Caenorhabditis elegans: one gene and its partner. The protein of the gene in region 1 interacts with the protein of each later gene in a pairwise test. Each region holds a gene or a part of one and is shown on either strand. Other genes may lie near its edges.

Region 1 (4,925 bases):
ACACAACCTTAGATTTTTTATTCTTTGTGTTTGATCCCTGATTTGACTAGAAAACATTAATTTGCTTGTTTGATACTCAATTTCCCATGTGCCAGTTTAATTTTGACAGTTGTAGGAATTCCTGGTTTCGTTAAAAATTAGTATTTCAACCATTGATTTGTTTTTGAAGGTATCTGTTAATCTATCAAGAATTTATTGTAAGAAACCACAAACTCGCCAAAATCTTGGTTTTGTATTTATTTTTCATATTTATTTTTTGTATTATCTATTTTTTAAACTCACTTTCTTACTGACTTGGCTTACATAAATAAAACCGTTCAAATTAGATGATAGATGACTTTCAAGAACTTAAAATTGGCAGAGAGTTACCTTTTTCAAAATGATGCGTATAATTCGGCACAATTTAGTTTTCAACACAATACAACATAAACAAAAAGTAAACAAAATTTTTAAAAGTTCGTCAATTATCAATTTGGTCAATTGTACGTAGTAATTGAATCCTTCTTTCCATCAACCGTAACCATATTTCGACTTTTGCTTGCCCCTTTTCCGTTTAATTAGCCTTTCCTCCCACTTTCCCCCGTGCCCACCTATTTCCTCTCGTACTTTTTTTTATCGTTTTTCGAGTACCTTTTTTCTGCTTTTCATTGTGTTATTCGACCCCGTATTTCTAACTTTCTGCAACCTGTTTCTTGTTTTAAACTATTTTAAACAAGTCAACATTCCTTCCCATCTCTGTCGGTCACTTTCATCTCCTAATCGTTCAGACATTGTTGCGATACTTGAACTTTTATTGTACTGTTTTAGTCTGATTGTTTTTTCGCGTTTTAATGTTTCTCTCGATAATTCAAAAAACAAATAAGTAAGATGTAAACAATAAAACATCTAGTAACAGTAGGCAAACATGAACATGTACTTGATCGGCTTCCAATGGCGACTTTGCCAACAAATCTCTGTTTTGTTTTCTCTATTACATGTATTCAGCTAAATGGTGTGAACATGTTTTGTTCACTTTTCGCTGAAAAAAAACCGATTTTTTTGGGATTCCACGTCAACATTTTCTCATCGTCTTTTGTGTGGTTCGTATTGGAATTTATGCAAACTGATTTTTCATATTTTTCATTGCCAGTACAAACACACAATCGATTCAATTTTTTGAACATATTACAGAACGTCGTTTTTCTCTCAATTATTATTGACTTCACAAGGAACAGTTTTAATTGTACCTGATTTTTTGAAGATTAGAATTTTGATAGTTGTACGAATGTTTAGGGATCAGCAAATTCTCTGGGAGATTTTTAGAAATCAAAAACAATTTTTGATCTAATTTTTGGTTGAGATAATTTTTCAACAAATTATAAATTACAAAAAAATAGATCCAGATGTTTTTCATGCTCTTAAACACTTATAAAGTCATTGAAAACCTACAAAAAAACATCAAAAAATTGAAAATAATCAGTACTTTCGAAATTAATATGTTTTATATATGAGATCTTCCCATGAGTCTTTCGAGAAGTTCTGATAGTGAGTGAATCTTTGAAAAAATATATTATTTGTTAACTTCTGTTAATTGTTAATTTCACTGTATATAAAATTCTATCAATTTTTAGTGTTTTTTTTTTGACAGTTTTATTTTTTTTTGTAATTAATTTTTGTACTATTGAAAACTCTTTTCCGTATCCTTCGATACTATATCTGTTTGGTTTCTAGTTTAAACTATCCTCTAATCCATTTTCTAATCCAATCAAAAACTATCGACCTCAGACGATAAACCAAAAACCAAACTGACGTCGTGATGCGATGCGCGTTCTTGAAATAGGTGTGACAACCCGCAAGCATATCGCTTCAAAAAAAAGAAAGACAAGAAGACGATAACAGATATCATTGTTAATCAGTGTGATGGGTGGGAGTGAGTAGTACGTGCTGATACACTTCTTCCGCGCATTTCCTATATCTCATCTCTACCTTTTCATTCACCCCGTTGTCTGCTTCTACTCTCTTTATATTCTTTATTCAATTTACTCTTGAATGGCATCGTTGAAATTATGATGATCGCAGCTCCGACATCATTGTCCAAGAACGTCGAAGACGGTGGCAACTTCTCAGCAGATTCACCGCCATCACTCAATTCTGATGACGAGCAACTCGACGACGCTCCGTTTTTGAGTCATCAGTTGTCCGACGATCACGAGTCATTTTCTGAGGTAAGAGAGGGTTTTCATGAGTACAGTATTCAGTCAAGCTGTGATTAACAAAAGTTCTTTTGGTTCCGTGTTTCTTTAAAAAAAGGTTTGATTTTGTGAAGTCGAAACGTTTTTTTTTCTCGCAAATGCATTTTTAGCAATGTACAACATTTTTTGAAAATAAAGGAGCAAACTTTATTCATTAAAACTATAGCTTCCTTCAGAAGTTTGTACCTAAAATAGAACTCTTACTTAAAAGTACATTCAAATTTAGCGTAAAGTAAACTGCCACTCGTGAGAATTTGGGATCTGCTGAAAATTTAACCTCGTAGTTTTTGTCTCATAGGCACAGATAGGTTTTTTGATGGCTTGCACTGAATTTTTTCAAGCGTTGCCATATGTTATAGAAAATGATCTGCAAGTGACAGTACAACTTTTAATTAAAAATAGAAACTTATTGACATTAAATATTCATTTTTTAGAAGTTTCTACGCAACATTCTGACACACGATTATCAGAATCTGATGCCACGTCGAAGAGAAAAATTTGTTGAAATCACGAAAACTGTCACTGTCACTGAGGTTTGTTTTTTTTTTGTTTCTTTTCGAGTTTCTTCTCTCAAAAGTCAGGTAATAATCAATCAATTAATGATCAGTGACATTGTTTGTCTGATTCTTCTCTTTCTTCTTTTATTTACCATCCTTTGTCAAGTTCTTCGTTTTCATAATAATCTACCATGTCGATTCTTTTCAATTTTGTTCCAACACCTGCAAAAACCAACTTCCACACTTTCAATTCATATTTTCACATCTTGATACCCCATCATCATCATAATTCTTTTCAATTCACTACTATCTTCAAAACCAATCAAGAACCGACTACTGAACTTTCACCCTCAAACTGATCACTATACCTGCGCAACACACTTTTTCTTCTCGGTTTCTTTGAATAACTTTTCATTTCACTTTCAGATTTTTGTGGAATGTATTGAAAGGGATGAAAGAAAAAGTAATATGAGATTATAGGAAATTGCAACAAAGTAATAAAATATGAGAAGGTTCTATGAAAGTTTCCAAAAAAAACTATTTTACGGAACTTCCGACTTTAAGATTCTTTCGATTTTCGAAGAAAAGAAATTAATACTGAAAGCTAGCATTTCAAAAATTAAACATTCAGTAGACTGATTGTTCACATTGATTTCTATAAAGCGTCTGAAAAATCAAACAATAAAAAAACTAGAATTTTATAAAATTTCGATGACGAAATTTCGATTAATACGAAACTCATAACAAAGATTCTAAACAACTTGTTTTCGCTGGTCGGAATAACATGAACTTATCGCAGTTAACAAAATTATTTTCATTTTGACCTTCATTTTCTTCTCCTATCATATGTATTGTGATTGTTGAAAATAATTCATAAAATAGGTGTTTGAAAGGCGAAATGTAAAAAATAATTTTAATTCAGATAGTCAACGGAGCACCAGACAAGCATCCGTCTTCGTGTGAAGTTAAAGTGACAAACGTTTCGCCGGCTGGACCTCATCCGGTTAACGTTTCCATAAAACATTTACACGAGAAATGGCATTCTTGTGAAGAGTTGGACAGATCAGACAACGGAGAAGACTTGGGAAAAGGGACCGTAATTCGTATTCAAGAAACACATAAACCATTCAATTGCACTCAAAAGAAACACCAAACAAATAAATTTGTATATGAAGACGTGATTAACACAAAAGTAAGAACCAAGTTAGAATGGTTAATAATTTATTATAATTTTAGATGGAGAGCTCAACAAAATCTCGTCAACCTCCATCAGCCAATAGTACACTTTTCAACCGGTCTAGTGATAATATCATAGATTTAGAGTTTAGACATCCAATTCTTAGAGAGACATCTGAAAAGAAATCAGAAAGAACAGAACAGAAAGCAAATGGAAATAATGGTACAAGGCGTCGCTTTGCGGATTTAAGGAAAAGAGTGTCGACTACTACAAAGACTTCTGTAACTGAAACAGAGAATGTGACAACTACAAGAAGAAGTAGCAGTGCTCATAGTACTCATTCAAAGAGGTAAATTTAAATCATCTTTAAGATTTTTTTTCTATCTGGACCTCGGGTTACAAGAAACATTGTTATCGGTTTTTTTGTGGCAAAATCATTGATAGATCCTCAAAACATTTTACGAAGTCTGTTAATACTGAAATTATCTTAAAACTTACTTGCAAAGCTTAAAATAAACTCTTAAACAATAATGGTTTTACTTCCAGAAGCTCCGCAAAACCAGAAGTTCATACACTGTATTACCGGAAATTTGTGGACGAAGAAACAAAAGGAGCAGATGATGATTCAAGTGATTCTGGAAGTGTTATAATTTATAGAGATGCTGTCACACGACGTTCTCGCTCAGCTGATCCTCTTCAGAATTCATCTCCAACAATGTCACCGATTGCTCCACCAAGAAAACGATTAGGAAGAGAAGAATCATTGCATTATTATCGAGATGATGACGAAGTTATTCAAGAGCAATCAAGTACTGAGAAGAGTCGAAGAGTTACTGTAAAATCTCCTGAACCAGGAAATACATCAGTTTCTATGAATGATAATGTTGAAGGTCGAAATTTAACTGCAGGAATTACATCTATATCTATGAATGATTCGTGTACAGATACTTCATACGAGTCAAGATTTTCTACAATTCCACGGGCAAGGAGTTCACCTCCAGGAAATCATCGGGTCAATCA
Region 2 (8,040 bases), on another chromosome or scaffold:
TTGACATTGAGAGTTTTTGATTGAGAAGTGATTAAAAGAAAGAATTTATGGGCGCTGGGCGGTTTCTTATAAAACTACCTAATTCAAACATTCCTCTTTTCTGTCACAGGCAGAGGGTCTCCTGAGACCTAAAAAACGGGTGGGCGCTCCACGAAGAAGACGCCGAAAAAAAAAAACAATTTCCCCGGGCGTCGTCGTTGTCGTTGTCCCTGCCTCTGTCTCCTCACGCTTCTTCCATGATTCATAGGGCTCCTTCTCCTTTTTGCTTTGCTTTTTCGCGATTTCTCAGTTTTTTGTCCCGTTTGATGCGTTCCGTATAATATAGAAACGTTGCTTTTTATCCAACAAAACTTTTACATTTTTGTACCAAAAATCCGACAGATTAGCCTATATGGATTAAAGATAAGCTGAGAGTCGGCTGGTATGCTAACTTGATTACCAGCATGCAATAGGATAAAAAATATTGTTCAGTTCTCCCTGTTCCTATTTCAATTTACGTCATATGCCAAAGACCAAAGGCCACGGGTGGTGTAGAGCAAGAGTCCGAGGGGAAATGCCCCGTTGTAATTGGGCGATAACATGAAGACACCCTCGATTTCATCGATAGGTCATTTTCACATTTTCACATTGTGATATTGATTTCTGAACGTTTAGTTTAGTTTATTATCATCACTTGTTTCTCTCGCATGCAAAAAGGTTTACAAACCCGCCTAGAAACCGCATAGGGAGGGGGAAGAGGCGAGAGAAAAGTTAGCATTCGTAGGTATTAAATGCATTTTCTAAAAAATAGGGTTTGAACAACAAATAATTGCTGTTTTTTGCTTGTACTTAAAATGGGCTCGAATTAGCATTCGAAATTCAAAAAAGACCAACAATTGATAGATTCACCAGTTTTGCTAAAGTTTCCAAGTTGCAGAGAATGAAAATTATATATATATTTTTTAATGGAATTATCATTTTTATTGATTGTTTGGTTCACATTATTTAGTTGATTCAAGTGTGTTAAAAGCCGATAAGTACTGAATTTCAATTATGTTTGGTAACCTATCAACTTTAAATGCACCCTTATTAACAAAAAAACGTGAGATAAATTATAAAAATATGCAATACAAATGATACTTTAATGCAGTTAATTTGCAACGCAGAAAAGTGTTTCCCAAATTTTAAACGCCCCCTCGAACGGAATAGCTTATTTATTTTTTGAGAAGTTCATTTGAGTACATTTCGAGTCTATACATGCAAACAATTCAAAACCGTATACATCAAAATTATTTCTATACATTTGTAGCTGCTTGTAACTCTATATGAATTAAACAAAAAAATCTCAAATCAAATTCGTCCGTTTCCGCGACATATTGTAACCGTTGATCTCCTATCAAAAGAGGAAATTCCCTTTATCTTTAAATTATAGTTTCCGGTCTCAGTACTTGCGCGACGACGTTTTTCATTCTGCTAATTATCACCATCAATCATCATATTTACTTTCCGACCATCTGTGTGATCAAAGTGATGAACTGAACTTGTCTTCAAATTTCAACAAATCAATTATCTGATTTTTCTCTTTTTCTCTTTTTCTTTTCTCTCTTTTCTCGTTCTCTCGCTCAACCAAGTTTGGGTATCAATTTTCTTTTCTTGCTCCTCCTCTCTGTTTTTTCCTTCTTCTCCACTTTTTCTTCCTTTTTTTGCTGCTCAATTCTGCTTTGATCTACTGGGAAGGCTGTGTGCCAAGATTTTCCAAAATGTTGTACACTGGCGGGTGTATCAGCATTCATTCGGTAACCGCTCATCTCGCTCTTTTCCGCGGCATCCCCCGTCAAAAGTCTGTTACCTTCCCCACCAAGTTTTCATCTCATTTCAAACGTGTGTTTTCTGCTATTTTTCTCGCATTTTTGTCTCTTTTGTTTGTTTAAAACAAGAAATGACTGAAAATTATGAACAATTATTCAGGTGACATTGTTTTTATGTCGGGTGGAAACGAAGAGGATCAGTTGGCACAATGCCAGGCCTATGTGCAACGACACAACATTCAGCAGCTTGTCAAAGAAGCAATTGGTGAGTTTTTGAAAATCTAGCAAAATAATAACACGAAAGTAAGAATACGATTTTTCCAGTTGTTCTGTGCATACACAAACCCGACAACCCGGTTCTCTTCTTGAAGGATCATTTTGAAAAACTCAACGAACAACGAGCACAGGTTAGTTGAGTTGCAGAGAATTTAGAAATTGAAAAAAAAAATATTTTCAACATAAAAGTGAGAAGAATGACAGAACCAGTTCGAAATTATGACCAGAAAAAGTATTCAAATTTGCTGACACTGAAAGAGTATTGACGTGGTACGCCAAAAAAGTTAATTGTTGCGTTTTGAAACGGTTCTTCTTATCGGAAAACGTAGTGTTGCATAAGCGTATTATAACGTTTTGAGTACAATTTGTGATGGGGGTTTTACAATTCTTCAGGATTTTTATTTAATTGTTCGTGTTTTCTGAACCATGAAACTCGGTTTCAGACTTTCAAATTTGAAATTCACATAGCTTTATAATTATATCATTGTTCTAGATCAGTGAAATTTGTTATTTTATTCTCATTCATAGTACCAAGTTTTTGAGGCATCGAAAATCTCGTTTGACTCGCTTCAAATATTTGAATATTTTATCCGGTTTTGTGGGAGCCAAGCGTCATGATTTTTTGTTTCGATCTTGTTTTTAATGAGATGCACTGCAAAAAAAAGCTTGAGAAAAAACTGGAAAATGCAAATTAGGTCAAACATCTTCCTGTGTCTTTTTCGTCATTCCTCCGCGTTTATGGCTCGAATCAATGAAAATGAAGCTTCACTTCGTTTTTTTTTTCGTCTTGTGTTGCTTCTTTTTTTCATAGAAAGCAAGCCTTGTGTATGTCGTTTTTCCGTCGGGGTCCTCTGGAGAAAGAGAAGAAAAAGAAGAAGAGGAAGAAGAAAAAGAGGCACTAGTTAGCTGGGAAAACGAAAGGATGAAAGAGAGCGGATAAGGCGTAACGAAAACGAAGAGAATTGAGAGAATGGGCCCTTTGAGACGAGTCCCAATGAGCCCTCCAGAGCTGTCCATCGAGCATCGAGCGCCCGCAGCCATTGGCTCAGCTGCCGAGCTCTTTTCCCTTTTTTTCGGGTCCGGTTTGTGAAGCGGAGAGAAAGTGACGAAGAATGAAGAAGGCCTCGGGGCAGATTTCTCTTGCTCTTCGTTGCTCTTCGGACGATCGCATTTTTCTTCTCCTTCTGCCGCTCCTTAATGCTCCATGCTTTTTGTTCTCCGTTGTTTTTTCAACACCCTCGCATTTTGTGTCTGGAATTTTTGTTTCGAAAATAATTGAAGTAGGTAGTATTTTCACAAAAATAACAAAAGTCAAAAGACTAGTCATAAATCTTTAGGAGGTCAGGTGAAAGAAAGGGAAGAGGAAACAGTAACAGTGACGACGAACCAAACATCATTGTCACGTTCTTTGAAGATGTGAAATTCTAGATTTAACCTTTTTTTTTCTCTGACACCTAATTTTTAAAATTCCAAAACATTTTGCTTTTTTTTCTGTCACAAATTTTAAACGCTTCAAACAAAAAACAACATTAGTCATAATCCAGGAAATATAAGGTATTACAAACTTTTTATGACGTCATCGTTACTTGCAACATTCTGAAAAGGTTCTCGAAACGATTATATATATATATATATATATATGATGAAAAACAACACAAAAAGTTCGGAGCTCTAGAATTTCAATTTGGGAACATTCAAAAAAACACAATAAAACTAAAACACTCGAGTCCACTTTTCACACTCCAATTTTTATGTCTTTTTTTGTACACATGTGTTTCAGTTTTAGACACAGCTTATCAAAATCGAATTGGGGCGGTTTTTTGGAATGTGGTCATTAAAAAAGTGTGTTTAAATTTCTATTGAAAAATTTGAACGTTTGTATTTTTTTTTGAAATTGTAAATAGAAATATTAATTTTGAAATGGAAAACTAAGTTTTGAAATTTAACATACTAAATTTGCCAATGCCATTCACTAAAGGACCATAAAGTGTGCGTACCTTCCATTTCCTGCGTCTCTCAACATATTTCTTTTGCATACTGTTCGGACGTTTATCGATCTTTTATGTTCTCTCTTCTTTCCAACCGCTTCCCCAGAAAAATAGTTTATTTTAAACACTCGTTTATGAAAATTTTTTGGCAAATGCTGATACACAATTTTTTTTTCATTTTTAAAGTTTTACAACTTTTATTTTCGAAAAACTAGGAAGTGCATACTCCGATATTTTCTATCTTCTCTCCGCCTCGTTTTCGTTATATTTGTCTGTCAAATTCAATAATCGAATAAAATTTGCCCCGAAGGCAGCTTCTATCCGGCCGAGTGTTTTTATGACCGCCTCAGAGATAGAGAACGATGCCAAGTTAAATGGAGAGAATGAAAAGAGTCACGCTTTTCTGATGCTAAATGACTTTATTGATTTTTGAGAGAAAAACTATTCGAATAAATAGCTCGTTTTTTACGAGGTTTTATTGAATATGTTCGAAAACTAGTAAAATGGGTTTTTTTTTCAAACGAATTGAAATATTAGTCATACCATTCTCTTTGTTTTTCTCCACGTAAAAAATGCCTCGAACGTTATCATTGTGTCATTTTCTATAAAATCAGCTGATTTTTATTTTCTGTACCACAGAAACTTTTATGAATTCTAAGAATAACGTGGCAGATTTTTAAGATAGGGAATTTGTCATTTATTGGATATTTCTCAATGTGTGCATAATACTCTCTGTGAGCACAATACACTCATCGTAAATTAACTTCGATGCGACAAATCAGAAATTAAATAGTTACTCTTAGAAATACTGAAATTGAATTTTTTTTTGTTGTTTCATAAAACAACATGAGTAAGAATAGAGGAACAATTCGAGACTATTTATTTTCTGTCTAAATGTTGCGGCTGCTATAGTAAATTGCCGGTTGCTTGAGACAAAAATGCATGAAGTCGTTGTGCCCTCCACCTACTAAATACAACTGGCAAAGCTCTTTCAGATATTGACATTCTTACTTTTTCCTCTTCCGTCCTTTCCTCTCCCTCTTTCTGTTTCGTTCATTTTGCGCTACCACAGCAAGAAAAACATTCACACGCCTTCAATTAGGTCTCATGTGGAAACCCGGTCCGATTTTGATTTTCGTCTTGTTTTTAGCCTTCTCATTCTACCTCCAACTACAACATACTACTCAATGTTTTGTCATAGTTGTTGTAGTTGAAAGTTCGACGCACACACAATTGCCTTATTTGCCTCCTGACGTGTTCCTTCATTTACAATAGTCATAGTGTTTGTTTTTTCAAATATTTATTTGACTGCTCACCACAACTCTGGTTTCCATGGATATGTTTTATTCCAAAACATCTGCTTCTTAGAAAATTGCCGTTACATTCCTCTTTTTTCACCTACATAGACTTTTTCTTATTCTTTTAACCAAGTTATTAATCAATATTGTCAGAGTATCACCACCAAGGAATGTGATGGGGCAGCAATTGAGCAACCGACGAAACTCGCAATCTGTGGGCGCCACAAAAAACGCAAAGACTCCAAAGCCTAAGGTGATAGTTTTTTGAGAGGATAATCACTTTTTTCTTATGGATTTTTGGATTTCATGCGTAGTTCGAATTAATTCTCTGATTAGAATGGCTTCTATGTTTTCAAACATCACATTTAATAAAATTTCTTGAAAAAATCAAGTTAGAAATTTGAACTGTTCAAAACCTGATCTTTTTAGGCAATTTTAAACGGATTCTGCAAACTTCTAGAAATAAAAAAAAACAAAAATAAAGGGAGACCTCAAAAATAAGAAATTGTTTTGCACAACAGAAACAAAAGTAACCAGGTGTCTGCTAGTATGATCGAATCTCAGTCACGACGGATGAATGATGAGCGGCGTGGAATGAAATGAAAAAAGGGGAAGCGCTGGAACCTTGATGGAGCACTAGCAAAATTGTAGGACGAAGAGACTTGCGAGAGCTACGAGTACGCATTTGAAGCACATTAGACGGCGCGGCAGCTCGCTCGGCGATAGATTGGCTCAGTGTGCACCGCACTTCATATTTCCTTGCGTTTTTCTTCTTGCTTCTTTCCATTGAAAAATTCTTCCAATCCATTTTCAATTCAGTGGTTCACACCTTAAAAATGGAGTTGAACATGTACCGGGTGAGTGAGCGAGTGGGTGTATTTACTTTCTGCTGTGTTGTTTTTATTGCGCAAATAGACAGGCGGAGACGGTTGCCCTGTTGCTAAACAGAAACAAGTAAGTTTGCGGCGTAACATAATTTACATTACCTGGTGGCCCACTTAATACGATTCCCGATTTACAATTTCCAACCTCAAGGTTAACGTTTTGTCGAAACAAAAAAAAAATAGCAGAGGGTCAGTAATTGACTGAACTGGTTCTGGTCATTTTATATTTTGATTTTTCATTCATTTTTTCCGTCGCTGAACTAACTGAAACAGGAAAATTCCAAAATGGTTTGTTATTTTGCACATCTTTTATTTTCAAACTTTCCTTATCAAATCTTAACATTTCAGGAAGGAGGAAATCCGGACGCTGCTGATGATGACGACATCATTGTGGAGCCACCAAAGAGATCAGGTGGACGCAGAACCGGAATCTCTGCCGAACCAATCAAGGAGGACGATACCGAGTACAAGAAGGTTGTGATTCCAAAGGATGATGCTACAAGAAGGTCGCTTGAGTCAGCCATGAGGAAGAACTTGCTCTTTGCTCATTTGGAGGTGAATAAATTCCCAAAAAAATTTCTAATAACATTAAATTTTTATTCAATTTTTTGGTTTTTAGGAGGATGAGCAAAAAACCATGTACGATGCCATGTTCCCAGTTGAGAAGTCTGCTGGAGAGACCATCATCGAACAGGGAGAAGAAGGAGATAACTTCTATGTTATTGATAAGGGAGTGAGTTGCTTCTCTCTAAGAGCTTATCCGTACTTTCATATTTAAGACCGTTGATGTCTACGTCAATCACGAGTACGTTCTCACCATCAACGAGGGTGGATCATTTGGAGAACTTGCTTTGATCTATGGAACTCCACGTGCTGCAACCGTCATTGCCAAGGTGGCAAAATGCCACTCAAATTCATTTTATATATTTTCTTCCAGACCGACGTGAAATTGTGGGCCATCGACCGTCTCACCTACCGTCGTATCTTGATGGGATCAGTAACAAAGAAGAGAAAGATGTATGACGAGTTCCTCTCCAAGGTTCAAATCTTGGGTAAGTAAATTGAAGAACCAGAGAAGAAAAATGAACTTAAGCCGAGACTCATCAATCATCTTTCAGCCGATCTCGACCAGTGGGAGCGCGCTAACGTGGCTGATGCTCTTGAGAGATGCGACTTCGAGCCAGGAACTCATGTCGTCGAGCAAGGACAACCCGGAGACGAATTCTTCATCATTCTCGAGGGAGAAGCCAATGTGTTGCAGAAGAGAAGCGACGACGCACCATTCGACGTTGTCGGACATCTTGGAATGTCGGACTATTTCGGTGAGCAATAATCAGAAAAAAAGAGAAAAATTGGAAAAAAAATGAACAAACATGGAAAGATCAAAAAACTAATTGTATTTGGCAATATGCGGGTGATTCAATAAATGCAAACATTTTTTTTATTGAAATATAACTCTAGACAAGATTTTTGTGACACTTCATATATCAATGTAGGCTTTTCATGAAATGCAGGCGCGGTTTCAGGGAATGACGTCGCTTTGCATTTTGGTGTTAAATCAAAACCCTGGTGTTTGCACCAGAGCCCGACACGTTTTGATTTTTGAACCGCACTAATCAGTAGGCGTGGGTCGCGACCCTTGTCGACGCCTGAATGAAAGCTTTATTTCAATGTCACAATTTCAGGAGAAATCGCTCTTCTTCTCGACCGCCCACGTGCCGCCACCGTTGTTGCCAAAACCCATCTCAAGTGCATCAAGCTGGATCGTAACCGCTTCGAACGTGTCATGGGACCAGTTCGTGAGATC

What was found.
Region 2: the proteins of T04F3.1 (region 1) and kin-2 interact in a two-hybrid assay, tested with the Caenorhabditis elegans proteins (one large-scale study listed by BioGRID).

Annotation. Positions count from the first base shown.
Region 1 is NC_003283.11:11,738,185-11,743,109, forward strand, and holds the start of T04F3.1 (Aminotransferase class I/classII large domain-containing protein), read left to right. Parts: upstream 1-1,880; 5' UTR 1,881-2,045; coding exon 2,046-2,204; intron 2,205-2,665; coding exon 2,666-2,764; intron 2,765-3,211; exon of another isoform or gene 3,212-3,296; intron 3,297-3,650; coding exon 3,651-3,920; intron 3,921-3,964; coding exon 3,965-4,254; intron 4,255-4,451; coding exon 4,452-4,925.
Region 2 is NC_003284.9:5,971,746-5,979,785, reverse strand, and holds the start of kin-2 (cAMP-dependent protein kinase regulatory subunit), read left to right. Parts: upstream 1-1,931; coding exon 1,932-2,052; intron 2,053-2,111; coding exon 2,112-2,194; intron 2,195-2,974; exon of another isoform or gene 2,975-3,113; intron 3,114-5,502; exon of another isoform or gene 5,503-5,524; coding exon of another isoform or gene 5,525-5,602; intron 5,603-5,874; exon of another isoform or gene 5,875-5,990; intron 5,991-6,117; exon of another isoform or gene 6,118-6,252; intron 6,253-6,581; coding exon 6,582-6,788; intron 6,789-6,852; coding exon 6,853-6,966; intron 6,967-7,012; coding exon 7,013-7,126; intron 7,127-7,170; coding exon 7,171-7,285; intron 7,286-7,351; coding exon 7,352-7,555; intron 7,556-7,918; coding exon 7,919-8,040. UniProt on the Caenorhabditis elegans protein: Controls the rhythmic contraction of enteric muscles probably by regulating G-protein coupled receptor aex-2-mediated calcium influx in GABAergic DVB neurons.